Cricetulus griseus: one gene and its partners. The protein of the gene in region 1 interacts with the protein of each later gene in a pairwise test. Links are inferred from orthologs where the notes say so. Each region holds a gene or a part of one and is shown in the gene's direction. Other genes may lie near its edges. The genes, in order: 14-3-3 protein gamma, Tnfaip3, Epb41l3 and Fam53c.

Region 1 (8,340 bases):
ACATATGCTGGCATTAAAAACATGTGCCACCACTCACAGCTGTTCTTGTTTGGTTTGTTTTTGAGACAAGGTTTCTCTGTGTAGCCCTGGCTATCTTGAAACTCACTCTGTAGACCAGACTGGCCTCTGTCTTTTGAGTGCTTGGATTAAAGATGTGTACCACTATCACCTAGACATGTTTTCTTTTTTAATGTTTAAATTTTTATTTGATAATGTATGACTGAATGTGTGTGTGCATGTGTGCATGTCTGTGTGTGTGTGTGTGTGTGTGTGTGTGTGTGTGTGTATGGCATGTGGAGGTCAGAAGAGACTCTTTTGGAGTTGGTTCTCTCCTTCCACCTTTTTTTTTAACTTTTGATTTTTCAAAACAGGGTTTCTTGGTGTAACTTTTGGAGCCTATCCTGGAACTTGCTCTGTAGACCAGGATGACCTGGAACTCACAGAGATCCGCCTGCCTCTTCCTCCCAAGTGCTGGGGTTAAAGCTTGTGCCACCATGGCCACCGGGCCTCTCCTTCTGCCTTTAAGTAGGTTGTGGGATGGACTCAGCTAGCTGGGCTTTCTCTGTCAGCTTTATCCACGGAGCTGTCTCATCCATTTGCTGCTCTCCCTTCATCCCCTCCCTCCACATTGTTTTCTTTGCAGCCTATGTTGGTGGTAAAAGTCTATAATCCAGTGTTTGGGAGGCAGACTGATGAGAAAATCAGTTCAGGGAACAATAAAGAGAACGGAAGGTCAGACCATCTCAAAAGAGAAACAAATTAAAAAGTTTAGTGTTTTTTTTTTTTTTTTTTTTAACCTTTGAGATAAGGTCCAAGTCAGCTTATAAATAATTTATGGTCAATCCTCCTGCCTCAGTCTCCCAAGTGCTAGGATTAGAGGGTTTTGATGCCATACCTACATCATTCATTGGTTTAAAAAATTTATCATTTTATGTGTATGAGCATTTTGCTTGTGTGTGTGTATGTGTATTGCAAGTGTGCCTGGTGCCTGTGGAGGTCAGAAGAGGGCATCAGATTTCTCTGAAACTGGAGTTATAGGTGGTTGTAACCTGTCATGTGGGTGCTGGGAATTGAACCCAAGTCCTCTGTAATAACAGCCAGTGCTCTTAACTTCTGAGTCATCTCTTCAGGCCCTTCATTCATTGCCTGATGTTATGTGTTCTGCATTCAGTAGTGATGAAGACAAAATATAGATGTGACCATTTTCTACCACTGTTAAAATATCTTGTGAAGGGCCTAGTGGCTCACACCTGTGTCCTCTGAAGGCTGAGGCACATAGATGGCCAGGTGTTTAAGGTTGGCCTGAGTTACATAGTGAGTTTCAGGCTAGCCTGGCTACAGGGTGAGGCTGTTTCAAGAGAAAAAAAAAATGAAAAAAATAAAATAAAAACCAAACACCTGACACACCTGAGGTGCCTGTAATCCTAGTATGTGGGAGGTGGAGGCAGGAGGGTTAGGGCATTCAAGGTTTGCCTTGGCTACATAGGTAGAAGTTTGCCTGAACTACATGAGGCCAGGTCTCGAAACAGAAAACAATGGGTATTTTATAAAAGAGAAAGTCGGAAAAACAAAGGAACCACAACCAACTATACAAACAAAATCGATCAATAAAATAATGTAGAGTCTTTGTCTATTATTTAAAAATGAATTAATTCCTGGGCAGAGGCGGGGCTAGGTGAAGGTCAATTCCCAAGCTAGGGAATATGATTCAGTTGGGAACATTCATGTAAGACCCTGGTTTTGTAGTCTCAGCACTCTAAGACTGAAAACGAAAACGACAAACCCAGACCTCATCTCCCAACTCCTGAATTTCTTAGCCTGTCATTCAATGTCCCGTAGAAATTAATGACCCCAGTAGAGTTTCATGAAACACCAGACAACCTATCAGTAAATAAATTCCAGCTCTAGGGGAGGCAGAGGCAGGAAGATCTGTGTGTTAGAGGCCAGCCTGGTCTACACAGAGAAACCCTTTCTGGTAAAACAAAACAAACAAACAGACAAACAAAAAACGCAGTCAAAACTATAGGGGGTGGTGAGCTCAGGGAAGTGTTGGGTCAGTGAACTGAATCTTGGAGGGAGAAGGGATTTCCCCAGGGTCAGCCTGTAGACAGCTACATCACTTAGGGAAATTAACAAATGTACAAGGCGGATATGTGTCATTCCATGATTTCACCCAGTGAAGCCCCATGTCAAAGTGCATCACTGGAAACTGCAACATTCGGGTGTGCGTGTGTGTGTGTGTGTGTGTGTGTGAGAGACAGTCCTCTAAGTGTGTGTGTGTGTTTGTGTGTGAGACAGTCCTCTAAGAGTTGCATCATTTACGCAACCATCTCTCGGGCAGCCTCACCCTTTCGATGGTGGTGGTTGGGCAGTTTGGATTTACGGTGTCTGCACTGTGTTCTTCCCCATCCTCCGACCATGATCTGTAACCTCTGTTTCACAGAGTCCATAAATGAGGCCCTGGCTTTCTCTCCTCTCAACTGCCCAGAAGCCATGGGGCGGGGCCGTGAATCAGCACTGTTGCAGGCTGCATCCCCGCCAGGGGTCCCCAGCGGCCGCGGGCTTAGACCCTACCCCCACCCGGTCCGCCTCTGCCGGCGCTACGCCCGCTGGGAGATGTAGTCTCCGCCGCCCCTTTGTCCTTGGTCTCCTCTGCCGGTCAGTTCGCTGCGGGTCGAACTACTACTCCCAGGAGTCCACGCGGCAGAGGCAAACGGTGGGGGCGCTCAGGGGGACGAGGAGCGATCTGAAGAAACTGAGGCGAAGGATTTGGGGTACATTAGAGCGCAGTGGACAATCGGGGAGACGCTGAGAAAACCTCGAAGAGCCACAAGGAGTGTTCCAATAGGGGCGAAGCCCGCTAAAGGAGGGGCCGGGCGGGGCCGGGCAGCTCGCGCGCATGCGCGAGTGGGCGGTGCCTTTGCGTCACCCGTGTGGGCGGGACCGCAGGGGGTTGTCCGTCCGCGGCACGCATTAGAGCTGCAGCCTTCTTGCGCCGGGTGCCGCGGTCGCAGCTCGTGCAGCCTTTTGCTCGCCCTCGCCTAAGCAGCTCGCTTCGTGCGTCGGCCTCCGACGCCCCTCTCTTTCCCTAAAGCCCTTCAAGGCGGTCTCCGGTGTCCTCCTCTCCAGCCGACCCGCTTCAGCCCCGCGAAGATGGTGGACCGCGAGCAACTGGTGCAGAAAGCCCGGCTGGCCGAGCAGGCGGAGCGCTACGACGATATGGCCGCGGCCATGAAGAACGTGAGTGTCTCCTCCCCTCCCCCCTGCCTCGCCCAGCCGCTCCCGAGCACCGGGGTTCTGGGCGTGGAAGGCATGCTCGGGGGCATGTCGCCTGGTCGTGACCGTGGGGTCACCCCTCCGTCCCCCTCCTTGGAGGGATTAATTAGGGACGGGTCCTAAACGCGCGACTCGGGCACCCGAGTGGTGACGCGGCCTCTTTCCCAGCCTCTCCGGGCTCGGGGCTGGGGCGGGGTCTGGCGTGGCTGGGCTCTGCTGGGGAGGGGTCTCTAAGTGACCCTGCTCGTCCAGGCTTCCGAGTCGGGGGCCGTGCGCATCCTTTGTGCCCCACTTCCCCTCCTCCCCGCTTAGGCGTGGGGGCGGGGGGACCGCATGGATGCGGTTCCTCTTTCTCTCCCTGGTGTCTGGGCGGCGCCTTTCCCATTCACTCAGCTGGTCTCCCAGTCTTCCGCCTCCCCACTCCAGCAGCTCCCCCTCCCCATCATCTTCCCCACTGACACATCCTTTAAAGAACATTGAATATTTCGGGAAGAAAAAAAAAACGTAGATCCCCTCCCCCAAAAACCCGGGCTTAATGGTGTAAAATCGAAACCACCTTGCTCACGTTTTTCTTAACAAAAGGCTTCCCTTTACCCATTTCCCAAAGCGAGTCCTCTGACTTCTACGGAGGGAGGGATAAGTGTGTCGTTGGCATTTCCATTCATGGCCCTCTGTGTGCCATATTCAGTTTTCATTGAAAAGGGTTAAACATGCCTTTGAATGCTAACTGACTGATTAAATTTGTGACATGCAGTTTCTCTTTTGAATGTAGGCACGAGTCTCCCGAAATTCCTTTAAGTGTAAAAAAAAAAATCCGTCTAATCTGACATTGCAAACAAAGCGATGCAGGGAGGCAGTATCAAGTCATTCCAGAAGATTCTGCATTTGTCATATTGCAGAGAGCCTAGACTGGGTGGAGGCTGGGAGGAGGGTTTTTTTTTTTTTAAATGTATCTGAGGCTTTTTCCCTCTGACCTAATGCATCCTCATACTGATGAGAAGAGAATACTGATCTCCAGTTGTCGCATTTTTGTCTGAGATGCAAAATTCTACCTATTTGCACCATTTTGTCAGTAGCACTTATTTATTAACGAGTTGGGGACCAGTTTGCCAGCAGAGGGGCAGTACTGAGTATTGAAAAATTAAGTAGAAAAATTAATAATTGGGTTTCCCACTCCCTTAATATTTAACTTCCTACCTTATGTAACAAAGGTTGTTAAATGCATCTCTGGTGTTAAGTGGCTGGAGTGTGCCTTGCAAGTTAAACCTTTCAAGTGAACGAATAGCATTAATTTTTAGTTAATTTTTTTCTAGTGTTTTCAAAAGTCCAGGTGTTTATCCTTTCCTAATCAAATGAGCTACAATTTTTTTCTATTTTATGAAAAAATAATTTGGCTTTAAGACCAGAGCTACTGTTGTGTTAGTGTGTTGCTACAGTTTCCTTTTTATAACGGTTTAACAGTTAAAGGATACAAGTTGGACTTCTGTGGGTCACTAATGTTGAAAATGTCTTCAGTTCGTGATATTTAGACTCTAATTCTCCCCTATTTCTAGTTCCACAGGAGAGCGAGTGACCTCGCACCTATATCCATAGCAACCCAGTGATGTCACACACAATGACACAGAGGCTGCAATGCACCTAAGGGCTGGTAGGGAGTTTTCAGATGGCATTTGTCCAAGGTAATGCAGAAATGAGCTGATAAGCCAGGTGGCATTGAACGTTTCATCTTCTACCACATTGGCCTCGATCACCAAATAAAAAAATTATTTCACTTTAGACATACAAGGGCAGTGACTTCTAGAAAAGTCCATTCACCTTAAATGTCCCTTAACAACTTTATAAGATACTTTCATATTTCTCAATATCCATATCCATATCACTTACTTTAAAAACCCAGTAACGAGGAAGTGAAGGAATTTCTAAATAAGAATGTCTCTGGTCATAGCGAGGTGGGTGTGCATTTAGTGTTATTTCAATGAGACAGCTTTTCATTAAAGCATTATTAAATGATGGCTGGCCATCTGCAGTAGCTGTTAGGAAATGAAAACCCAGTACAAAGTGTTTTCCATCCGAATGAGGGAGGTTGTACTCTGCTGACCATGCTATGAGAGGAAGAATGATTTGTAAGATATAGGCCTTTTAAAAAGTTTTTTTCAAGCCTATTTTCTGTGGCCTTTTAAGAAAATCAGCTTACCTCTCACCCCCAGTTTCCACACAATACTTACTTGAACCAGTGAGGAACATGGTTCCCCAGTGTGGTAACTCAAATCACCTGTGTCTCAAGCATGCGTCTCTTGGTTCAGTCCCTGGCACCGGAAAAATTGATGATGAAGGGAATTAAGGTGTAGTTTAAGCATCTAGGGTAATTCTGGAAATGCCACGTTTGGAATTCATGCACAGCTATATCTGTAGGTGACTAGGACATCAATAGTTAGGGGCAGTATTCTGAATTAGGAGAGGAGATAAATGTGCAATTTTGCATTTGAGCAGAATACCTAGATGGTTCCGACTTGTTAGGTTATCCCACTCTCCCCTCCCCCCACATATTCAGATTCTGTCATCTCACTTTCCTTTGGCTGATCACAGTCCAAAATAAAATGTAATAAAGTCTTCAGTCTATTGTTATAATTGTTCTTTCTACTTATCAGTTATTGCTCTTACTGTGCCTGTCAGAGATTAAATTTATCACAGGTATGTATGAGATACAGTGTTTGGGTTTAGCTGCAATTTCGGTATCTGCTGGGGATCTTGGAACACATCCCTTTGGGCAAAGGTGGAGACCACTGGAATATCCTGCCTTTGGCTTTCAATAGCCTCTTGAGAAGTTAATATACTGAGTAGGCCGCTGGTACTTGCATCCTGGGGGGAAGGAGGTCCTGGACCTTGGGGTTACTGGATTAGAACTCTGGACTTGGGATTACAGTGGTTGAAGGATGCCTTAGTTATAGAAACAGATCTTCCTGGTGGGATCAATGGGTTTTAAAGTCTTACTCGGCTAGTTCTTCAGGAGCCAGATCAATAGCTATTATCCCTAATGGAGTAATGATGCCTTTGCAGATTCCTTCGAGGTGGAGCTCTGCCAGCTGTTCTCAGTCACGACTTTTAGGCTGCTCTCCTTGGAGTGGAGAGAGCATATAACTTCATTTCTGGTGTTATCCTTCACAATGCTGAAATGAAGATTAAATTATTTTTCCTTCCTCTTTAAAAATTACCAGCCCGAGGAACAACTTGGAGGAATCGGTTCTTTTTCTACTGTGTAGGTCTGGGGATTGAACTCCAGTCATGAGACTTGGCAGCAAGCAACTATATCTGCTGAGCCATTTAACCAGCCCCTAATTTTTTCCTCCTAACTAATTGAAAAAAGAGAACCTTGTGCTTCCTGTGTTCTTTAAAGGATGTGTTTGAATATCTGTTACTATATTTTTAAAGATAGACCTCAGCTGTCATTTTTGAAGACTAATTATGTATTACTGAAAAGAAGGGCCTGGCGGTGGTGGCACAGGCCTTTAATCCCAGCACTCTTGGAGAGAGAGGCAAGCCGATTTCTGTGAGTTTGTGCCCAGCCTGGTCTACAGATAGTTCTAGGACAGCCAGGGATATGCAGAAACTGTCTCAAAAAAGCACACACGAAAAAAGGGAACAAAATGTTAGTTTTCATGAGTGGTGTTTTTTATTCTTTGCTGTTTTTTTTGGGTCAGGTTCTCAGTATGTAGACCAGGCTGGCATTGAACTCAGGTCCACCTGTTCCAGCCCCTTTGTTTCCCAAGTGCTGGAATTCTAGTACTAAGGCACCACACCCAACTGATAGGTATTTTCTTTCAAGTCACAGAGCATACTAACTATACACAATCCAATAATAAAAGTTAACAGTACAATTTAGTGGTATTTTAATATTTAATACTTAATAAGTTAAGCCCTTATTTATTTCAAAAATGGAAGGGTATGACTTGGAAAGTGGAGGCAAGAGAGTAACAGGACTACAGGAGAATCCTGTCAAAGCGGAGAAAGATGAGGCCACCTGTTTAAAAAGATCCTGGCCTGGACTGCAGCTTGCTGGGTTTGATTACCCACTCTGGAATGTGCCCACCACCACCCCCAGCCATTGATAATTAATTGGTTGTCCCTTGGTCTTTATTTTGAATATCTTCCTCTTTCATAAGGTAGAGGAAAGGACCTAGATTCTAGCTAGGTTTGTATTTCCATTTAAAGAGTCACTTAAGCTATATGCCATTCACCTAAACAAACAAGAGTAATTCATCTGAAATCTGAGCCAACTGTTAAGCCTTGGGAGGCTATGAAAACATGGCTGGTGTTCTTAAAAGCCCAAGGCTGGTTATTGTGAATGATTTCCCTGCTGTGGAGTAGTAGGTCCCTCGTGAACACTCCCCAGGCAGTAACTGAGCCTGGTGAGCTGTTGAAGCCAGCCCTCTATGTTGGGAGATGTTGAATATATTGGTTCACACCATGTTCTGTGGTTGTCAGCTTGGGAGTGAGTGTGCTGCCTTCTCTCCATGGACTGGCAGTTCCTCCAACTATAGCATAGCTCTTCATCTGGCTGGGCATCTGATTCTGTATTTCTGCCAGATTAATGAGAAACATGGAAGAAAAAACAGAACTTACTATGTGAGTGCTTTGCTCTATGTAAGTGCATCAGGTGCATGCAGTACCTATGAAGGTCAGAAGAGGGCGCCAAATCCCCAGAACTGGAGATAACGGACAGCTGTGAGCCACCATGTGGGAGCTGAGAACTGACTCAGGTTCTATGCAAGAGCAGCAATTGCTGTTAACCACTAAGCATCTTTCTGCCTCTTTTTAGTTTTTAGTTCAGAGGCAGGTTCTCGTGTAGTCCAGACTGGCTTAAAATTTGTATGTAGTTGAGGACAATCTTGCATTCCTGATCCTCCTGCCTCCGCCTTTCAAGTGCTAACAATGGAGCCCAGGGCATTGTGTATGCTAGGCAAGCCTTCAGGTGCATTTCTAACCCTCTGGCTAACAGTCCGCAATGTTAGTGTGAGGCAGGGTCTTACTATGTAGCCCTTAAACGTGTGATGCTGTTCTAGGTGT
Region 2 (7,698 bases), on another chromosome or scaffold:
CCCCAGTTAGCAATTCACTTCTCAGGCTTGTAAGCATCAGATCCCTAGGCGTGCATTTCTTTGTCATGGCAGGTCTTCCAACCATGGTCTTTCCTTAGGCACTTCCCAGCCAATCAATCCAGGGAAGGATGTACCTCTTACTCCTCAAGCTTTTTTTTTTTCTTCCCTGAGCTAGAGTATCATGTATGGCCTTGAACCTGCTACGTAGCAGAAAATGACCTTGCTATGTAGCTGAAGATGACCTTCCTGCCTCCACCTCCACAGTGCTAGGATTGCAGACATGCATCACCATGTGATTTTACATGGTGCTAGATATAAACCCAAGACTCCATGCATGTTAGGAAAACACTGAGCTATCCCCCTGCCCCAGGTAGGGAATTTTTCTGAAAGCAAAGGCTGTCTGTATCTCCCTTCAGCTTTGACTTTGCTCTGCAGTGGAAAAATGTAAAGGAGAAAAACCAAAATGGGGGAGAGGATGAACATCCAAGCAATTGTTTCAATGAAGGAGAAGAATGAATGGGATTTCTTAACAGGGACAAATGCAGAGTGACATTTGAGTGACTTGCTAACCCGTCCTTTCCTTCCTCTCTTCTCCCCTTCCCTTAGAACTGGAATGATGAATGGGACAATTTGGTCAAAATGGCATCGGCAGACACTCCCGCAGCCCGAAGTGGACTTCAGTATAATTCCCTGGAAGAAATCCACATATTTGTCCTCAGCAACATCCTCAGAAGACCCATCATTGTCATTTCAGGTGAGGTGCCTCCTCGTTTCTTCTTGTTTTTCCAAATGCTTTTCAGCCATGCTGCTTTAGCTCTGAGGAGAAACCCAGGCTCCTCAACAGCTTCATGAAAGTCACCCAGGGTCTTATTTTGTTTTTTTTTTTTTCTTCCTGTTAACAGACAAAATGCTAAGAAGCTTGGAATCGGGTTCCAATTTTGCTCCTTTGAAAGTGGGTGGGATTTACTTGCCTCTCCACTGGCCCGCCCCGGAATGCTACAGATACCCCATTGTCCTTGGCTATGACAGCCAGCACTTTGTACCCCTGGTGACCCTGAAGGACAGTGGACCTGGTAAGAAAACATCAGTTCATACTCATAACCCTTTTGGATCCTGGAGTTCCCGGCCTTGCTCTCTTGTTCCCAACTGAAATTGTTATATTTAAGTCTGTTCTTAATCAGGATGGATTAACAATCTCTTATGTAAAGTGCTTGGATCCAATATTATTTCAGATTGCAGAGTCTTTCATATTCCTGAATGTTTACATAGACTTTGCCATCTCATCATCCCTAATCAAAACTTAAATGCTCCCAAATCCAGTCAGATTTGTAGATTTGAGATTTTCAGATTAAAGTCATACACAATGGCACAGTAATGCAATAGCAGTAAACATACCATTCTGCCATCCTTTTGAGTGTGACTTAGGAAGTACTTTCAGAATGGTAAACATAGGTTGGACAGTCATATATGCATACTCCACCACTGTTATTACTACATGACAAATTAAGGTACACAAAGCCTTGGTATCGAGTCTGGCATACAGCAAGTAGATGTTTGTCAGGTTAGCTATTATTATAATACCATAATGTATAGTAAGCACTTTGCTAAGTGCTCCAGGCAACATTCCTTCATTTCATTTTCATAGCATCCCTATGAGATGTTGGCATGAGTTGTCTTACTTTATCGATGAGGCCATGGAAACTCAGAAAGGTTAAATGACATGCTTAGCTTGACATCAACAAAGTCAAGATTCTAACTCAGGTCAGTCTGCCTGGGAGGCATTGAATTTAACCAGTTCAGATCTCTTGTCTCCTTCCTGTGATTACAAAAATCAGCTTAGGTGATGATCACCAGATGGATGGATGAAGAGACTGTGATATGTGTACACAATGGAATTATTTAGCCATAAGGGGGAAAAAGGGAATTTTTGTCATTTGCAGAGAAAAAAGATGGAGCAGGAGATAATCATATTTAAAAGAAAAGCATAGACTCAGAAAAGCAACACTTTTTTCTCTCATATATGGAATCTAGATTTTTTTTAAGGGTACAGAGCAGAATACATGGAAGTAGAAGGCAGAGGATTTTGAAAGAAGTAGAAGCAGCAGGAGGAGGAGGGGTGAGAGGATAATGGAGTTCAAATACAGAGTATGTTCATAGAGATGTGTACAAAAGCACAAAAGTAAGTCCAGAATCTTTGTGCTCCAAACAAGAACTAAAATTACCTCTCAGCCTTCCAGCCACAATAAATATCCAAAAATCACAAATTAAATCCCTGTCAAAGAAGTCTGCCAGTACCAGGCTCCTTGGCATTCTGTGAGCTCCCTGGATACAAAGCATTTTATGTTAGTCTTTACCACATTTTGTTTCCCTGTTTGGCTTTTAAGTGTGACTGGATGAATCTTTCTGTATCTCTAAATTCTAATCAGTGTATGTGACCTTACACACAGCATCATTTGTAGGATAATATTTTACTCACACGATATTTTTTTTCTTTCAGAAATCCGAGCTGTTCCCCTTGTTAATAGAGATCGGGGAAGATTTGAAGACTTAAAAGTTCACTTTTTGACAGACCCTGAAAATGAGATGAAGGAAAAACTTCTCAAGGAGTACTTGATAGTGATGGAGATCCCGGTGCAAGGCTGGGACCATGGCACAACTCACCTCATCAATGCTGCAAAGTAAGCAGTCTCCTTTAATTTGTCTTTTTTTAAAAGATTTATTTATTAATTTTTTTCTCTATGCATTGGTGTTTTGCCTGCATGCATGTCTGTGTGAGGGTGCTGGATTCCCTGGAACTGGAGTTACAGACAGTTGTGACAGAGCTGCCATGTGGGTGCTGGGAATTGAACCTGGGTCCTCTGGAAGAGTAGCCAGTGCTCTTAACAGCTGAGCCATCTCTCCAGCCCTTTGATTTGTCTTCTGCACTTGAGAACATGATAGAAGTGTATTGGACCACAATGTGTCATAAGCCTGCATTTCAGTGCTGGTATTGTGCCATAGACTGCTACATTCTGGAAATGTGTTCTAGGAGCTTATGATGTTAGAGTCTTGTGTTATTTGGAGTCACCACTTATTTTCCTGCTTGCTCTTTAGGTTGGATGAAGCTAATTTACCCAAAGAAATAAATCTGGTAGATGATTACTTTGAACTTGTTCAGCATGAATACAAGAAATGGCAGGAAAACAATGAGCAAGGCAGGAGAGGGGCGCATTCACAGAACCCTTTGGAGCCTTCCACGCCCCAGCTGTCACTCATGGATGTAAAATGTGAGACACCCAACTGTCCTTTCTTTATGTCCGTGAACACTCAACCGTTATGTCATGAATGCTCAGAGAGGCGCCAAAAGAACCAGAGCAAACTCCCAAAGCTGAACTCGAAGCTGGGTCCTGAAGGATTCCCAGGCATGGGACTTGGCACCTCCGCCTGGAGCCCGGAGGAAACAGCTGGAGGACCTCATTCGGCCCCACCCACGGCACCCAGCCTTTTTCTGTTCAGCGAGACCACGGCAATGAAGTGCAGGAGCCCCGGTTGCCCTTTCACATTGAACGTGCAGCATAATGGATTCTGTGAGCGCTGCCACAATGCCCAGCAGCTTAATGCCAGCCACACTGCAGATCCCGGTAAGTGCCAAGCTTGCCATCAGGATGTCACTCGGACGTTTAATGGCATCTGCAGTACCTGTTTGAAAAGGACCAAAGCAGAGCCCTCCTCCAGCCTCACTTCCAGTGTCCCTCCCTCCTGTCACCAACGCTCCAAGTCTGACCCCTCACAACTCATCCAAAGTCTCGCCCCACACTCTTGCCATCGGACTGGAAATGATGTCCCTTCTGGCTGCCTTTCCCAGGCAGCACGAACTCCAGGAGACAGGACAGGGACAAGCAAGTGCAGAAAAGCTGGCTGCACATATTTTGGGACTCCCAAAAACAAGGGCTTCTGCACGCTGTGTTTCATCGAATACAGAGAAAATAAACGTGAGTGAAATCATAGATTGCCTATTGCAGTAGTCAGTGCCTAGAAAGGGGTCTTTGATTGTCAAGAAAGTAGCCTATCCCAGCAGTCAGAGCAATTACATCTCACTATGCCTTTCTTATTGGTTTGTGCTTGGGGACAGTGACTGTTGCTCTGCTGTTGTACCTGGAAGCAGTAGGCACTATCTCATTACATCAGTTCTAGTTACCATGTACCCTACATCAAAAATATCCTATAGATATAATTCATACTAGTCCATGATGGACCCACTGTGTATCCCAGGCGGGCCTCAGAGTCCTGGCAATCTATTTGCTTCTTTCCCCTCAGTGCTAGAATTTTAGGCATATACTGCCACACTAGACTGTGGGGCTGGGTTTAATAAGGCCATTGAGAGTCTGCTACCCACGTATAGTTCAGACTTCAGCATCTTTGGTGAGATACTCTGAAGCAGGCTAGCAAAAGAAAGGAAGTATTTACTGCCATCAGGAAAACATCTGTGGCTTAGGACTTTCTAAATCAAAGGGCAAGTGGGCTGTGAATGCCTGCTGTTTGGTTCTCTGACTGATCAGTGACCCATGTTCAAAGTGAGAGATTAAGCCAAAGATGTTATTTTGCTGAGTTTCTGAAAGTTCAGTCTCAAAGTACATGTTCAAGGCTGTTTTCATCTATGTTGGGTACCCATTTCCTGTATGTCAGTGTCTGTATTTGCACAGTAACCCAGATGTAATACTGACTAGCATCCACTCTTTTGTAGAGTTTGTTACTGCCTCTGGGAAAGCCGGTTCCACAGCCCCCAGGTTCCAGAATAACATCCCATGCCTGGGCAGGGAGTGCGGCACCCTCGGGAGCACCATGTTTGAAGGATATTGTCAGAAGTGCTTCATTGAAGCTCAGAGCCAGAGGTTTCATGAAGCAAAAAGGACTGAAGAGCAACTGGTGAGACATTTGGTGAATCTTGCCCTCTCTGGTGTCAGGTCTTCCATCTGTGACAGACAGGCTGTCTCCTCATGATGACAAAGGTCCCTTTAAAAAGTCTGCTGGAAGAGAGCCTGGAAAAACCAGCCACATTTCTTTGGCTCATGTTAGGATACACTGAACAGCCTAAGCATACTTAGAATTGATTCTGAACAGCTAATACAGTCAGCCCTGAGCAAAGCCTCTGAGAGCATCCTGAAAGCCAGGAGGTGACTGATCAGAGACCTCTTAGATTTTAATGAGAAGCAGACTTCTCAGTCCTTTATTCTGAATATTCAGGATGCTTCCATTTACTGGCATATGGCAGAAGCGGGGAGGACCTTCCTCAAACTGGGTCCACAGGATTGGTGGGGAGCTATGGACCCTCAGTTGCACATTTTTCTGCTTCTCTCACTCAGTCAGCTCAAGCCTCTGTAGAATCCAAATCTGTTATTTGAAACCCCCGTCTGGTTTCCTGAGAAATGTAACATCCTTCTCTTGTTCTTCCCACACAGAGATCTAGCCAGCTCAGAGATATGCCCCGTACGACACAGGGAGCCTCGAGGCCCAAGTGTGCCCGGGCCTCCTGCAAGAACATCTTGGCCTGTCGTAGTGAGGAACTATGCATGGAGTGTCAGCACCTGAGCCAGCGAGTGGGCTCTGTGGCTCACCGGGGTGACCCCACTTCTGAAGAGCTCCCTAAACAGCGCTGCCGGGCCCCCGCCTGCGATCACTTCGGCAATGCCAAGTGTAACGGTTACTGCAACGAGTGCTTCCAGTTCAAGCAGATGTATGGCTAAGTGCAAGCAAGAGGACTGGCCCAGCAAGAAGGGGCCTCAAACTGCCAGGCGGAGTGGTGCTGTACTCCAGACCCCTGAGTGCCATAGGAAGGGTGGGCCCTGGGACAGTGGCTTCGAGTGTCTTTGAGCAAAGGAAACAAGATAAGCTCTTCATCATGGCTGTGACATTCGGGTTTGGTAACCAAGACTATGTCCAGGTAGGCTGAGAGTAGACCTCGTGATGGGCAATGCATGATGTCACATTCAGCCTGAAGCTGTTGCTGCTCATCTACCAGGAATCCGGTGAGATCTTGAGACATGGAATGCATGCTAGGACTGGCAAGCAGTTCCTGTGCCCACCTGCCAGGAAACAGGAGAAAAGCACGTGGACAGGTGGGTTGGAGCCTGAGACCACCTAACTGCCCCCACCCCCACCCTGGAAGCTTTTCTCAGAGAGCCAAAGCTGAATCCTCAGAGTACCAAGGCCCTCTGCCAGCCAGAAGCTCGAGGAAGCTCAGGGGAAATGACATGGGTAGAGCGCATCTGTAGTCGGTGGGCTTCCCTATCTGCCTGCTTGGTTCCCAAGGTTCTGTCTGAAAGCAGAGCCGCACACAGACTGTAACCCTGAGGCTGCTGAAACAGAAATGTTCACATGGAGACAAAAAAAGCTGCTCTTGACTGTATGCATACACCTTTTAGACAGCAGAACATCTTAGCAGGAAGACATGCCACCACTGGTCATCATTGTCTTCAGTTCCAGAGAGACTAGTTTGCACAGAGGTGTGTATCAGCGTGTGTACATATGTAATATACCCTTATATTATGTATAAGGGAGTTGTTTTTTAAACATTCAAATGGTGCCCCAGAGGTAATAGGAAGACTGAATAATAATAACCTATTTTCTGGTTGTTGTCAGGTTGCCTCTGTGTATGCAGCTTGTTACGTGAATTCAACAAGCTGCCTCCTTAAAGGGTGCCCTCATCGTACTTTATTTATTATGGACTTCAACGTTATTTAAATGAAGATTTTCTTCTGCAGTATTCTCTTGGAATAACATACTTGCTTTCCGCCATGTTCTGGGAACCTGGCAAATTCCTGACCTCGGGGTGTGGTGGGGCAGTTGTCTGCCCTCTCTACTCATTGCCTCCCTAGGAAAGAAGGGATTGCTTTATGAATAAAGCCTGTAGAAGCTGATACTTCTAATGACTCCCCGGCTGCACAGGAAGAAATTGTGGTGTGTCTCCTGTAGATGCTTCCAAGTATCCTACCTCTTTGAAGAGTAGATAGGGATGGAGTGGGGAGGGACACAGAAATATGTGGCCTTTCATGACCTTTGCTTACTGTGTAAATGCTGTGCCCTTGGGGTACTGGATAGGAACCCAAGCCTTGGAACCGCAAAGCCAGTAGCGATGAGGATGAGGAGGTTTCTGCCATTGGCTTGTAGCTTTTCTGTGTGTTTTGCGCTTGCCTTTGGAGGGAGATGCATTTCTCCAGAGGGAAGGGCTGACATCCTGGGTTCTAGCCCAGCACCTGAAGATGTTTGTGATGTATAACTCTATATAGCCTTTTCTCTTCTTATCTGACACTGTCTTTCCTGACTTACATCTTTGTCTTTTTTTCATTTAGTTCTTTCAAAGTTGATAACCTAATATTTTGTGTCTATTGATATTTTCATTCTTAATGTGAAACAATGAAATTATTTATACTTATAGAAAGTATGTGAAATTTGCACATTTAGTTGTCTTCATAGGATGGAATCTACCTTTTTTGGACTTCTTCAGATTGTTTTATTAAAGAACTGTAACTTCACAAAAGTCATTATTAAAAAATAAATTATTTAAGAACAAATTTTAATGTTTTTTATTCATGAATGTTGGGAGAAAATGGGGTAAAATATGAAGACTTTGATATATAATGAGCCATGGGTGCACCCTTTACCCATGGAAAAAGAGATAACTAATGCAAAATAATCAGGCGGTTGCTGCACAGACATGAG
Region 3 (7,698 bases), on another chromosome or scaffold:
GAGCGTTTCTTCTGTTACTTTTAAAAGTATTTTATTCACATTTTCTTTTAGGACTTGCTATTAGGGACATGAGAGAGGCCCAGTGAAATGTCAGGAAACTCTTCTTCTCACTCTTGTATGCTCTGTGTGCATTTGTGGAAATGTCTTGAGTTGTGTGAGCATCTATTTCAGAAGATAACATTGCCCATTTAGAGATGATTGTTAAAACTTGAAATGGCTCTAGATCTTCTTTCAAATGAGTAATTCTTCAAGGCAAACATGAATGACTGTGAATACATATATAATACAGTGCTGGCTTCCTAACTCATCTTTCTGGAAAAATGTCTACTCCCTCTTCTCCAACCCCCTTTGTTTAAACAGACCAAAGAAGAGAGAGAGATTTCTGAGAGAGTTGTATTTTTACAGCAAGGAAGTTCACCATTCCTTGAGTCTCAGGTAAAAAAGCAAACACGGAGCTATTCTTCACCCTGGAGTGTCTGGTTTTCACTTCGTTAGTTTTTCTGGTTTAAAGCTAAGGTGGGTGTGCTAATTTGCTTAGATTTGGGAAATGAGATTTTTCTCAGTATGCTAGTGGTTAATTATGTAATGCTTATGACTTCTATGTGATAAAAATTACCATTGAAGCTTTGGGTATGCTTGTGGTAATCTCCCGAAAGTCCCCACTGTCCCTTTCCATCTAAGACCTCTACTATTTTTTAATGACTTTGACTGGTTTCTTGAATGCTCTGAACTTACTTTGGTTTTCTTGCTAGCCAAGTGTGGTTACGAAAATGCGGGAAGGCGTCTCTACTGATTCTGTGGCTACTTCTCATCAATTAATTTTCCAGAAAACTGTCCCGTCGACCCTAGAGGTTATTTTTTTCAATTCATATCTTTTAGTCCAATGCCAGCATGTAGATCAACCTGCAGTTATTTTGCTTAACACAAACATATATCTAGATTCAAGTTTTCAGGATACCATAAGTAGAAAACATAAAACCAAATGTCATCTACTCTGGTGTGGTCTCCCTTCCTTTCTGTAACCTGGTAAGCTGGTTAGCCATTAGCCTAGGACATCCAGTTATCTCTCCTGTAGGCCAAGGTTTCTTACCGTTCTTCTGCCTTGTTGGAACTAATGCTAAAGAAAGTGGGAGAGAAATTACTGAAACATCGAACTGCAGGTCTAGTTAAGAACAGAACACTCCACGGACCTCCAACTCTTATTTTAAAGGGATCCAGATCAGTAGTGTCTCATCAGGGGAAATTCCGTTGCCATACCTTGAATATGGGCGCACTCAATATGCTTTGATACTAAGTGTAGTCGTGAATTGGCTTCCCTAGATAAGGAAACAAATTTGCACATGTGGAAAAAAATGGTCTTTACAGAAACTTGGAGAACACCTTCAACTTCCTTGTGAAAATACCAGTATGGGAAGCATTGTGTGACAGCAAACAAGGATAACAGTCTTTTGTGCTACATGTGTGAGCCTGAGTAGTTCACTTATAACATCCAGTCTTAAGATAAAATGCAACCAAGCTGCCAAGCACAAGGTCAAATAGGTCTCCTATAAAATTCATTGCCAAGATATGTTCCTAGTTAAAGAAACATGAGATTTCAATGCCACCCCCACAGGATGTATTCCGGGTTGAAATTAGATTTCTGGTGAGAGGGGACTCCAGCCATAACTGTTAGATGATAGCAGCCACCCTTTGCTTCAGTCTTACCCCATGCCCCGGTATAGTTTATGCCCTGCATTTTTTAAAAAGGGTTCTTATTTTATAGACAACCAGCTTTTATATACCACCAGCTTTTCTAATTTAGCTTTTATATTTTGAATATAGGGCACAGAGGATTGGGTTATTGTAGACAAAATACCCACTGAGGTAGTTGATGGTGATTCGAAAAAGATTGTCACTTACAAGGTGGTAACTGTGAGCAGTAAAACCGGTGAGATCCCGGCTGACTTGCTAAAACCTAGCATGATTGACATGCATGGCTTCGATGACTTGGCCAGAGAAATGCACTTGAAGGAGGAGAACGCGCAGAAGATGTACACTCTGGGGAAATCCTACGACACCGTCTCTGGCAGAATTGTCACCATGACTGGGAAAGCTAAAGAGGGGGAGAAGGTCGCACAGCCCTCCTCGCTGGAAGGCTGGCAGAAGACAGAGAGAGGCGCTGCAGAGAAGGTCGGTCCCCTGCTGGTGGAATACGAGGTCCTGGAATCCCTGGCTGATGAGAAATCCAGAAGAGGACCCGAGGTCCACACCCCGAAGCGGAGATTGTCAGAATCCCTGGCGCCCATCAAGGAAGCCGAATCCCGCCGGCAAAGCCCCGAGGAAGATGACACCCAGAAGGCACCAAAGCTGGGAGAGGGTGCACCTGCCCACCCCCGGTTCGGCAAACCGCAGCAGGGGGCCGAATGCGAGGTGCTGACGGTGGGGCCCTTTGGCCCACGCAGGAAGAGCCTGTCTGAGTGGCGGTACTCCCAGGAGCCGGCCTTTACCGTGGCTACTGCCCACTATGTCACCGAGTCTTCTGCATCCCAAGTGGTGGTAACCAGTGGCTCTCATTCGGTCACAGCTTAAGATTCCAGCATGACATTTTTTTTTACAACAGCGCCCTTCCACCCTGAACCTTTTCCGTTTCTCTGGCCGCTTGACTTTATGTTGAGAGCAGCAGCGAACCCAGCTTTTTTTTTTTTCTTCTTCCCATGATTAAATCAATATTGCAGCCCCAAATCAGCATTAAAAACACTTTTCCCCCTTTTATTTCTAGCTGCCCGTTCCCAAGATTCGTGATAAGGCGCGCTGTGGCTTGCAATTGGAGGGGAGGGGTGGAGGGTCGGTGGGAAGTGACCTGCTTAAACCGACGCCACCCTGAACGTGATAACTCTCTGCTTTAGCACACGAGGGCTCATGGTCACCTAGTTTGCTGTGTTATGCCCCCATTCCTTTCTGTTTCCAAGCTCTGTACATGGACTCCTTCATTCCTCCTTCCTTTTTTCCTCTGCCTCCGGTTTTGTCTAGCAAGCTGCGAACATGTGCATGTCTGGGGCGTCTCTCGTGCTTGACTCTCGTTTCTTTGTTCACTCAGACTAAACAGTCTTCTGGGGAGAAACTCATGGATGGCTCGGAGATCCTCAGTCTGTTAGAGTCGGCCCGGAAACCCACAGAGTTCATAGGAGGGGTTTCATCTACTACCCAGAGCTGGGTGCAGGTGGCCATTCCCTCCCGTCCTTGGTGTTTGTGACTGTGCCCGTTTGCTTTGCTTTGTGAGCATGTGGCGGGTGTGTGTGCCTGTGTCTTGCATCCAAGTGGCATTGCCTTCCTGCATCTCAGAGCAGTCCCCGGTGACTGTTCTTCCTGCCACTGCATGTGCCTGTCTGTTGTGGACCTTCCATTCCACTTTGAGAACGGGCTTCCTTTGCTCAAAAGCAATGGCGTTAGGAGATTTTAATGGCTCTTGATCTTTAGAAACATTTCGTCTCATCCGTCCAGTCTAAGGGCACACATTCAAAGCCACGGTGAACGTGCAGCAGAACGCCCTTTCTTTCTCCTCTGCTCGTGTGCTTTATTGCATCCTGTTTCTTTCGCCATTGCTCTGAGAAAGCTGTGCAGGTCCCTGTGTGTGTGTGTGTGTGTGTGTGAGAGAGAGAGAGAGAGAGAGAGAGAGAGAGAGAGAGAGAGAGAGAGAGAGAGAGAGACAGCAAAGCTAGTGGGAGGAATGAAAGCTTATTTTTACTGCCGTCAGCGTCCATGCATATGAGCTCTTGATGCCAGCTTTGAACCTCATAGTGAGTAGCCGCCTTGGGGAGTTTGTTGTTTGGGTTTATGGAAGTCACTCAGACACTGTACTCTTCCCATACAGAAACTGGAAACAAAGACAGAGTCCATCGAAACTGAGGTGGAATTGACCCCACACTCCCAGCCCCTCAGCACTGAGAAGGTGCTGCAGGAAACCGTGTTGGCGGAGGAGAGGCGCATCGAGAGTGTGCAAGGCAGTGGAGATGCTTGTCACACAGCCGGGGATGCCGTGGATACAGCAGAGACCACACCCTCAGATCTTCACAGTGCGAAAGGGAAGGAGGGCTGTTCTGTGACAGAAGCAGCTAAGGAAGAGAGAGGAGAGGAGGCTGACAAATCTGTCCCCGAGCAGGAACAGCCAGCCACAGTCTCCCATGAGGAGGAGCAGGTGGCAGCCACGCACCCTTCTGAGGCTTTGGAACAAAAGTCTCATTTTGAGGTAAATGGTAGTTACTGTTACTCTCAGAGGTGATATACCCTGAGAGTTAGAGAAAAACAGAAGTGGTGCTTCATTTAACTTCACGCCTCATCGTGCACGGGCCTCTGGCTTTCCTCTCTGATCTTTTACTTTGCACAGCAGTGAAGGGGTCTCCAGGCTTGTTTCCAGGTTTGGGGGTCACATAGAAATATAAAAATCAAGTACTGATGATGTATAGTTCTAGGAAGTGGTTTCTGTCATTGAAATTATAACTGACAGAAAACACAGGGAGCCAATGAATAGCTACTTTAGAGGGCCACAAAGATAGCCCGGTGGCTCACAGTGTCACACAAGCCTGATGACCTGAGTTCAACCCCTGGAACCCACAGTGGAAGCCAAGTTCTGAAAGTTGTTCTCTGACTTACACACACAACAACAACAACAACGATAATAGTAAAATATTTTTTGAAGAAAACTTGACATTTATTTCTGATCCACTTACTTTCCTAGAAGGACCAGAAAGCATTCCTCCAACTCCCAGAACTTTATTCTTTATCACCCTTTACCGAGATATTCCACAGGTTGGTGGGTGGAGAACGATGATTTGGTTCTTGCCTCATCTTTCTTGGTTACTAACTTAAAAGCTTGTTTATAGGTTTATCTATGTCAGTGTTTGCATATGAGATGGAGAAGAAGGGACAGATCGTTTTTAATCCCCTTTAAAATGTTTCTGTTGCCTCGGGAATCCTATGTCAACTGCTCGGTATAATCTAGTGAGACTGGTGTAGATTTGTTGTGTGTCATGATCCCTGTCTTACCTCCTCCTCGTTTAATACAGAAACTTTTGTTATGAGCAAAAATAGCAAAGACACCAGGAGGAGAGAGAAGTCCAAACTGCGTATACGCCTTGATAACCCCTCCCCCTTGCTTCCCACTGATACAGTCCTCCACTGTGAAGATGGAGACCGTGAGTGTGGGCAGTGTTTCTCCAGGAGGAGTGAAGCTAGAGATCTCTACCAAGGAAGTGCCAGTAGTTCACACAGAAACAAAAACCATCACATATGAGTCATCACAGGTAAGACCGGAGACCTGGCAGATCTAGGGCTTCTTGCATTCAACTACACAGTACCAGTCCAAGAGGCTGTAAGGATCGGCATCCAAACCATCTCTGTCAAGAACAGTGCACTGCCATGGTTTTATTACCGATTGTGGAGCCACGGTGATTAACCGAGGCTTTAGACAGCCTTCACATAGGCAAGTCTCAGAGACCTAGGTTGCAGTTATGGATAAGAAAGAGGCTTAAGCCACCCACTAGTCACATTTATAACATCTCAGTTTGTTAACCCTCCTTGCCTACAGCTTTGCCTAAAGTTTACTCCAAGAGCTCCCATGTTCTACCTGAATTGGGCTACGAGTGTGGGAAGCAATTGTTCCTTCTGAGGATTCCAGGTTTCCCATGGATACCCACATTTGTGGATGCTCCAATCCCTTGGTTGGAATAGTATAACATTACCTTATAACATGTGGACATGTTATAGTTTAAATAATCTCTGGATGACTTACACTACCTTACACGATGTAAATGCAATGCTGGTGGTTGCTACACTCCGATGTTTAGCAAACATCTGAACACGTTCAGTCTGGCTGCAAATAGTTCCTGAGTGTTTTCCATCTGTGGTTGATTGGGTCTTCTTATGGGGAGGGCTGTGTCCACTCAGTCACAGTATGGTATTAAAGAATGGAACAGTCCTATGGAGAGTAAATGCAACCACACCCGTGTGCTATGTGTGTTCCTGTCCCTGCTTAGGTTGACCCTGGGGCAGACCTGGAGCCAGGTGTGCTGATGAGTGCACAGACAATCACATCTGAAACCACGAGTACCACCACCACCACACACATCACCAAAGTAAGTGGAACAAACATCCACAAGCATTACTCTTTGACTGATGGAGAAGGGCACCAATCATCAAAACCTCTGACATCCTGACCTCATCCTTTTAGACTAAAAGGGGAATTGTAGGGGACAGTGTAAGCCACACCTGCTAAAAGCTGGCTACAGGTGTGCCTGGCCACGCCTGTTAGGGCGTGGTCAAGATGAGGTCAGGATGACAAATGATAGGGTTTTAAGGGTTTGCAAGGCACATGGGAGCCCCTTCTCTCTGGCCTCCCTGCCTTGCTGCCCCTGACACGCTCTGGCTTTCGTTTGGCTGGTGTTTTTCTAATAAAGGATATCCTTATCGTAAGCTCCTTTTATTTCTCAATACTGGTGTCCCTGATGCTCACCCTGGGGTGGGCCTAGCGTAGAGTAGATATCATAGGAACTGGGTCTGCTAAACCCAAAGAACTCTGCTTTTGGAAATAAGCATGTTGAATGCCTATGGTAGACTTAGTTCTGGGAGAACTAAGTGGGAGAACTGTGGGGCTTCACAGTGCCACCACCCCCTGCCATTACCCTGGTGAGTAACTCACGGTGCTTTCCTATGTCCTTCAGACTGTGAAAGGAGGTATTTCAGAGACGAGAATCGAGAAACGAATAGTGATCACAGGAGATGCTGACATCGACCACGACCAGGTAGGTAGCGTGTGAGACAGTAAACCCACTGACAGAGAAGTCAATGTGAGCACACTGGCCCTTTGGTTCCCAGTGCTAATCTTCTAGATCAGGATGTACTCTACAGTAGTTTCTGAATTAACTCTCCAGTATATGGCTTTGAGCCCTTGTGTAATCAGTGTGCCTCATTGTTAACTGTGGGGATAGATTAGCTCCTAAGACTCACCTTGCTGCTGCTCACGCATGTCCCACCTCCTTTTTGTTTTTGCCCTTCTGTGATTTCCTGGGGATAGGCGCTGGCTCAGGCAATTAAAGAGGCCAAAGAGCAGCACCCCGACATGTCAGTGACCAAAGTAGTGGTCCATAAAGAGACAGAAATCACACCAGAAGATGGAGAGGATTGACCAGAGGTAAGAGGTGACGCTGATTCTCTAGGCTTGCCTCAGCTAGCATGTGGCATGGGGCACTTCCCTCCCCACCCTTAGCCTCATTCTCCCCTCTCCTTTGTCCTCTCACTGGCATTTGTGGGGCTGGCTATCGAGAAGATGGAAAACTGCTTGTGGGTGCTGGGGTGCCTCTGCTGTGGAGATTCCCTCCTCAGAGCTGTGTTTGCACACCCACGCCAGTTAGAGGAGAAGGGAAGGCAGGGTCCCTGCTTGCCTGGTCTCTCTGCTGCTCTTTTTCATCTGGGCTTTACCTTCTTCTCATTACCCAAATTTGAGAAATCAAATTTGGTTTCACTTGCCATGTGGCCTAATAAAAACACTAAAGCCGGCTCTTCTGAAAAGCATAGTTTGTGCTCCCACTTGTAGAGAAATTAGCCACCCTCGTTCATGCTTTGACGACAGCGTCATCCCTTGGAAGTGTGCTCTTCCAAGACAGTGTCTCTGCTTCAGGCTGGCTGGGCACTAACTGTCTTTTTGAATGCCTTATATTTCCTGTA
Region 4 (6,558 bases), on another chromosome or scaffold:
TTACAGTTTTGGTTGGAATGTAGTGAGTAAGGATCATTCCTTTTAGCCTGTTTCCCTTATCTTTGTCAGACATAGGAAGTTTGCTTTTATGTTATTTATGTAGCCCAGGTTTGCCTCAAATTCAACATGTGATTATCAAATAATTACATGAACTCATTTCCTGCTTCTCCAGAATTCTGGGATTATAGGTCTGAGCTACTATACCCACTTGTTCCTCCAATCTACTTGACATTAAAAGGCCCAGAGCCTGGCATGGTGGTATATACCTTTAATCCCAGCACTTAGGAGGCAGAGGTAGGTGATCACTGTGTGTTTGTAGTCAGCCTGGTCTTCATAGCAAGTTTCAGGCTAACCAGGGCTATATAGTGAGAGCTAGACTCAAAAAAAAAAAAAAAAATTTTTTTTTTTCCAAAAATTTATACTGAAGGTCTAAGGGGGAAGGGAACCAGAGTATACGCACAGACATAAAAGAACAAAAATAATACAGAATCTTAGAGTTTTTCTAGCACATGTTCTACCATCGACCACCAACATCTTCCTTGCCTTCTCTAGCAGTAAAAGCAGTTGCTTGATTACTTCCACTAGACAGCACTGCCCTCCTTGGTCCTGGTGACATGTAAGAGGAAAAGACCAGGGAAGGCGAACATAGGCCTGATTTTCAGAAGGCAGGCTGGGAGCAGGGAGAGCTGGGTTGTAGATATGATTGGTCTAGAATATTGGGGGTGAGTAGGTCATACACAGAGACATACAGGTTTCTCTTCACGGTTTCACCTTAGAGAAGTGGCAGACTGTGTAAATGTTCTTTATTCGAGGATGTTCTTAGGACGAAGGTAGCATAGTAAAGGTTGAATCCTATTTTGTTCATTTGATAGCTACATGCTTTGGAGCCAATTAGGCTGCAGTCATCTAAAAAAGGGATAATCATGGTACCTCCATGAAGATTTTTGTGAAGCCACACCAAGTATTGACTGCATTACGTGATGCATAAGCTCTTATCATATGTTCGCTATTGTTAATACTTTTTATTATGAATGCCTTTCAGAAGGTGCTTCCTGGAGGGGCCTGCCCCACTGTTCCTGTGCTGAGTTCCAGGACAGCCTCAACTTCAGCTACCATCCCTCAGGCCTAAGCCTGCACCTCAGACCACCCAGTCGGGGAACGTCCCCGCAGGAGCAGCCCCTCCCCCAAGTACTAAGACCTGAACCCCCAGACCCAGAGAAGCTTCCTGTGCCCCCTGCTCCTCCATCCAAGAGGCACTGCCGCTCACTCTCGGTGCCTGTGGACCTGTCTCGTTGGCAGCCAGTGTGGCGGCCCGCCCCCTCCAAGCTGTGGACTCCCATCAAGCACCGGGGCAGTGCTGGAGGGGGTGGGCCGCAGGTGCCTCACCAGAGCCCCCCGAAGCGGGTCTCCAGCCTCAGGTTCCTCCAAGCTCCCAGTGCCTCTTCTCAATGTGCCCCAGCCCACAGACCCTACAGCCCTCCTTTCTTCAGCCTGGCCCTGGCCCAAGATTCCTCTCAAACCTGCGCCACCTCCCCTCAGAATGGTTCTTGGGAGAGTGATGCTGAGTCCCTGTCACCCTGCCCACCCCAGCGCCGCTTCTCCCTGTCACCCAGCCTGGGCCCACAGGCAAGCCGCTTCCTGCCCTCTGCCCGGAGTTCCCCTGCATCTTCCCCCGAGCTGCCCTGGAGACCTCGAGGTCTCCGAAATCTTCCCCGAAGCCGCTCGCAGCCTTGTGACCTGGATGCCCGCAAAACTGGGGTCAAGCGGCGTCATGAAGAGGACTCCCGGCGCCTACGGCCTTCCTTGGACTTTGACAAGATGAATCAGGTGAGACTGGTAGACCAGAAGAGCATGGACAGAGTGGAAAGACTGTTGAAACATCTCCTAGCACCACCTTCCTTGTAGGTATATCTGGAAACTCTTCTCTCTAGAGTTTATTCTAGGAGGACCATTCTGTCTTGCCTGGAACTATTTGAGTTTTAACCTTTAAAGTCTCCTGTCCTGTCAGATTAGTCCTTGGTGTTCAAAGAAACTAGACTGAGACATTAAACCTTTAGACAGGGATTCCTAATTGTTCTACCAGAGGCAGTTCTCTCAGAGGACTCTTAAGCCACAAAAGTCCTGTCACCAATGCCTACTCTTGTGTTCTGGGTTAGTTCTACCCCCTGCACTTCACTGCCTCATGTGATACTTTGGAGGCTTAAACAAGCTTAACAAGCACTTTACTAAAGTCCTAGCCTGAGAGCAGCTTGTCTACTTTTTCCATATTTTTCTTTCTCGATCACTTGGTCACAGGTCTCTGAGAATTTGTTCCTTTAGTCACCCAGCCATTCAAGGAAGCATTCATGGCAAAATCCATGTCCTTGATTCTGCTTAGACACTGGCAGAACAGAGAGTGGCCAAATAAGCAGATGGTATTGTTGACTGCATGGAGCTTATAAATAGTTTTTATTTGTTTTTTAAGATAAGGTCTTTCGAAGGGCAGTGGTAGTGCACACTTTTAATCCCAGCACTAGGGAGACAGAGGGAGTTGGATTTCTGTGTATTCAAGGCCAGCCTGATTTACAGAGCAAGTTCCAGGACAGGCTCCAAAGCTATACGGAGAAACCCTGTCTCCAAAAACAAAAAGATAAGGTCTTTCTATTTATCCTAGGTTGGCTTCAGCCTTCTGAGCTCTGAGCCTTTAGATACCATCACGCTCAATCATCCTCATAGATTCCATTCTCTTTTGTGGTGCTTATGAGTGAGCCTGTGTCCTTAGACATGCTATGCACGTGCTCTGCCACTGTTAATCCTCAGCCCCCAGGCTTCTATGCTTTGTTATAGGTTTGGTTTAGTTTTTTTAAGACAGGATCTCATTATTGTAGTCTAGAACCCACTATGTAGACCAGCCTGGACTTGAACTCTCAGAGATCTGCCTGCCTCTGCCTCCCGAGTGCTAGGATTAAAAGTGGGAACTGTGGTTCTTTCCTCAGAGAATGTACATGTATACTAAATGTTCCAAATTTTATGGTTTGGAACCTCACTCTAAAGCCTAGAATTTCTGCCTTCAAGTGTAATTGAGAGGGACACTTTAAAATTTATTTTTGGAGGGCCAGGAGATGGCTCAGTGGTTAAGAGCATAGCTGCTATTTCAGAGGACCTGAAATTGATTGTTAGCACCCACATAGTGTAATTCTAGTTTCTGGGGATTTGATGCCCTCTAATGGCCTCTGCAGGCATTGTTCTGTGTAAAACACCCAAAATACATAAAATAATCAATGGAAATTTTTTTAAATTTTAGGTTACTTTGGGAAATTAAAATTTGTCTTTGTTGTTTGACAGAAACCATACTCAGGAGGTCTCTGTCTCCAAGAAACAGCTCGAGAAGGTAGCAGCATCTCTCCACCATGGTTCATGGCCTGTAGCCCCCCACCTCTCTCTGCTTCCTGCAGTCCTATTGAGGGTTCATCCCACGTGCTAAGTGAAAGTGAAGAGGAAGAAGAGGGGGCTGTGCGGTGGGGACGGCAGGCACTAAACAAGCGGACACTGTGCCAGCAGGACTTTGGGGACCTGGACCTGAATCTGATTGAGGAAAACTAAAACTGAGAGGCTGCTTCCTGGGGCCACACAGACTGACTGTCTAATGGCTACTAACACGTGTGAAGGCCCCAAGGCTGAGGGCCCAGCCTGGGAAAGGGGGTGAGTGGAGGGCTCCGACTCAGGGCAGCCGAAGTCTTCTCGCTCCAGCAAGCTCGACCATGCCAAGAGACTGGCCGGGACAAGATAAACAGAGCTGGTGGCGGGAGGGACAGCCCCAGAGCAGACCCTCCCCATGGCGGCCCTGAGTGTGAGTATCCCTGCCACTGAGAGAGCAATGGGCAGGGAAGGAAGGGGTCTGCTGACCCCAGCTCGGGGAATTTCACTAGCCCCTTTGCTTCAAAGGGCACTTGTGTCTTAGAATTTGGCCAGGGTGGGGGCGTTCAGTCAGCCTCCTTGGAGAAATTGTGTGAGTGTGTGTGTGCATGGGCGTATACTTGAGGAAAGGTGTGTTTGTGTAGCCTTAGGGAAGGAAGGCAGTTGCTCCTTTAACAGCAGAGCATCAGGATGCCCCCAGAACCTTGATTTTTTTTTTTTTTTTTTTTTTGAATATGATGTTGGGCTTGTTCAAGGTGTCAAGAGTAGAGGGGGCTTTTTTTTTGTTTGTTTTTGTTTTTGTTTGTTTGTTTTTGGTCTTAATAGCTCTGGAGCCAGGCTTTTAAGGTCATAGCATTACTTGCTCTGCAGATGGCTCTGTTTTGGGGTCTAAGTATGGTGACCTCAGCTAATGGTCTTTTCCTCAGTCCCATCCTCTCCCACTAGATAAATCTAGTTTTGAGGGCTTGTAGGAAAGTCACATTCATTGTGTTGATCAGATTTTCTGAGCTGTACACAGCCTGCCTCTCGTTCTCTGAGTCGGTGCAAACATGGGCGGCTGAGCCAGAGCTGAGGGGGGGTCTCACTTCTTCACCAAGGGACCCTTTCATCTTTCAATTCAGAGACAAAGTTGATCTCCAGAATATGTTGAGGCAGACCTGTAGCAGGAGCAGTGACATTTAGTCCCCAGAAGTCCTTGAGCCCACCCCAGCACTGCCTTTTTGAAGCTGGCTGTAGGGAAACTTATTCTTGCAAGATCTAGGCCCAGTCTCTTTCTGATCTGTGAGAAAGAGGAAGGGCGTTCAGCATTTAATAGTTTGCTTGTCTTCCACTCTTGCCAGGAAATGTTTATTTGCCTCTAATTGGCCCTGAGAGACCACAGAGAGGCTGGGGCTCACTGAGGGATTGGCTGGGGATGTGTAAAGCAAAGGCTATGAGAAGCATCTGGGAGTTGTTTGTTGTTGGATTGAATTTCCTTTTTTGTTTTGCCCACAACTTCAGCCAGTGCAGCAGGTCCCAATGCTACAGTAATGGACTTAAAGATTGCAGGTACCTTGGGTGGGTTGGCACCAGTGCCGTGCGTTTAGAAGCTGCCACTATTGCAGTCTATGAGGCTTTGTTTAGAACACCCTGTATAACAGAAATTGGACCTGCCCTTCCAGTTTATTATAATAAGGGCATTTTTTCTGTTCAGTTTCCAGGGTGTCTTCAGGGGAGGTAGCCATGTCTTCTTGAGCCTGTGGCCCTCAGAGGTTCTATTTTCCAAGGCTCCTCCCTATCTCCTGGCTAGTTACCACATATTACCACTGGGCTACCAGTCTCTAAGGGCCTAAGAGAGGCTCTCTTGAGAATCCAGGGAAACTGAGCCCAGGAGTTACCTATCCTTGATTCATCCTTCCCTGGTTCTCCCTCTCTGGTCCATAATTTCCCTGGTGCCAGCTTCTTTTCCACCTGGGGCATCCTCATCCCTGGGCTCTCTGCTGCAGATGGCAGTGTCAGCCTCCAATAGGTCACTGGCAGTGCCAATGGGGTCTTTGCAAGGCCCTAAGTTTAAGTAAAGGCAGTGGTTCTGCCTCCATCCTGGCTTTCCCACCCTTAGGGAGCGAGGCCTACAGTTGTCATATTTTAATTCCATTCCTTTAAGTCTGGAATGTTAAACTAGGCAGAACTATCATCTTGCTTCCCAGTTTAAATGCCTCTGGCCCTGGAACAAGCCTTTTCAAGACGTGAATCATTTTGCTTACACAATAGATCTGTTCCAACAGTTCTGTGTAAACCAAACGCTATTTTTTAATGCATTTGGACTGCTGGCCATTTAAAAGCAGTCTATGATTGCTTCTTTTGTAAAGCAAGCAACCTCCCTCTACTTTAGCTGGTTTCGTTATCTGGGTTTTCACATTTGGGCTTTCCCAGAGTGGAGCACACCTCCGGGGCTTGTGGCTGATGCTGTGTAGACGTCTGCATCTGCTGCGTGTGTGGTGTGGCTGGCCGGTAGGTGAGTATTACTGCGTGTGTGAGTGAAGCCACTCCCAGGCTGATGCTCTCTTCCTGTGCCCAGTGACTGCCCAATGGCAGCCCTAGCTGCCCTTCATTCCCACCTGCTGCCAAAGTCCCTGTGCTAATGGGATTACAGAAACAAAAAGTGGAAAAAAATTTTTCGTAAACTTTGTTTTATATTAAAAACTTCCATAAGTCTGTGTGTGTTAAAACATGAGGTTCTGCCTCTGTGGCTGTGTTTGAAAAAAATAAAGTTTTATTAGAATAATCCATTTTCCCAAGCAACCTTGTGTACTATAGTGTCTTTTTCACTTAGTGCACACACACACACACACACACACACACACACACACACAGTGAAAGAAGAAACAGTGAGAAGGCTAACTTCCCAATCTCTTTAAGGCATGGGTAGGCCATCCCAAAGGGCTGTATCTGGTTCCTCGACCCTTCTGTGATCAGACCTTGTTGCCTGGGTCTGTTATTACAGCTTGCTCCCAGTTTCCTGGTACTTACATGTGTTGTCTGCCATCACTTTCATTTCCAGTTGGTTAAAATCAAGTACTGATACATTCCAGTTCCCTGAGAGATGCTTGATGGTATAAGTTAGACACTTGACTAGGCTGACTCATAGGCTTTGGGTGGTAGAAGACAGAAAGGAATCCCTTC

What was found.
Region 2: the proteins of 14-3-3 protein gamma (region 1) and Tnfaip3 interact in binary tests that used the Homo sapiens proteins (3 or more experiments, as listed by UniProt). The link is inferred for Cricetulus griseus from reciprocal best matches to the Homo sapiens genes YWHAG and TNFAIP3.
Region 3: the proteins of 14-3-3 protein gamma (region 1) and Epb41l3 interact in binary tests that used the Homo sapiens proteins (3 or more experiments, as listed by UniProt). The link is inferred for Cricetulus griseus from reciprocal best matches to the Homo sapiens genes YWHAG and EPB41L3.
Region 4: the proteins of 14-3-3 protein gamma (region 1) and Fam53c interact in binary tests that used the Homo sapiens proteins (3 or more experiments, as listed by UniProt). The link is inferred for Cricetulus griseus from reciprocal best matches to the Homo sapiens genes YWHAG and FAM53C.

What each region holds. Positions count from the first base shown.
Region 1 is NC_048597.1:114,930,082-114,938,421, reverse strand, and holds the start of 14-3-3 protein gamma, read left to right. Parts: upstream 1-2,954; 5' UTR 2,955-3,153; coding exon 3,154-3,240; intron 3,241-8,340. UniProt on the Homo sapiens protein: Adapter protein implicated in the regulation of a large spectrum of both general and specialized signaling pathways. Binds to a large number of partners, usually by recognition of a phosphoserine or phosphothreonine motif.
Region 2 is NC_048595.1:270,729,827-270,737,524, forward strand, and holds the end of Tnfaip3 (tumor necrosis factor alpha-induced protein 3), read left to right. Parts: intron 1-606; coding exon 607-754; intron 755-902; coding exon 903-1,073; intron 1,074-2,497; coding exon 2,498-2,678; intron 2,679-3,093; coding exon 3,094-3,971; intron 3,972-4,723; coding exon 4,724-4,905; intron 4,906-5,438; coding exon 5,439-5,723; 3' UTR 5,724-7,550; downstream 7,551-7,698. UniProt on the Homo sapiens protein: Ubiquitin-editing enzyme that contains both ubiquitin ligase and deubiquitinase activities.
Region 3 is NC_048595.1:458,010,073-458,017,770, forward strand, and holds the end of Epb41l3 (band 4.1-like protein 3), read left to right. Parts: intron 1-3,076; coding exon 3,077-3,199; intron 3,200-3,850; coding exon 3,851-4,225; intron 4,226-5,147; coding exon 5,148-5,279; intron 5,280-6,011; coding exon 6,012-6,110; intron 6,111-6,695; coding exon 6,696-6,776; intron 6,777-7,048; coding exon 7,049-7,159; downstream 7,160-7,698. UniProt on the Homo sapiens protein: Tumor suppressor that inhibits cell proliferation and promotes apoptosis. Modulates the activity of protein arginine N-methyltransferases, including PRMT3 and PRMT5.
Region 4 is NC_048595.1:202,721,883-202,728,440, reverse strand, and holds the end of Fam53c (protein FAM53C), read left to right. Parts: intron 1-1,042; coding exon 1,043-1,827; intron 1,828-3,324; coding exon 3,325-3,582; 3' UTR 3,583-6,177; downstream 6,178-6,558.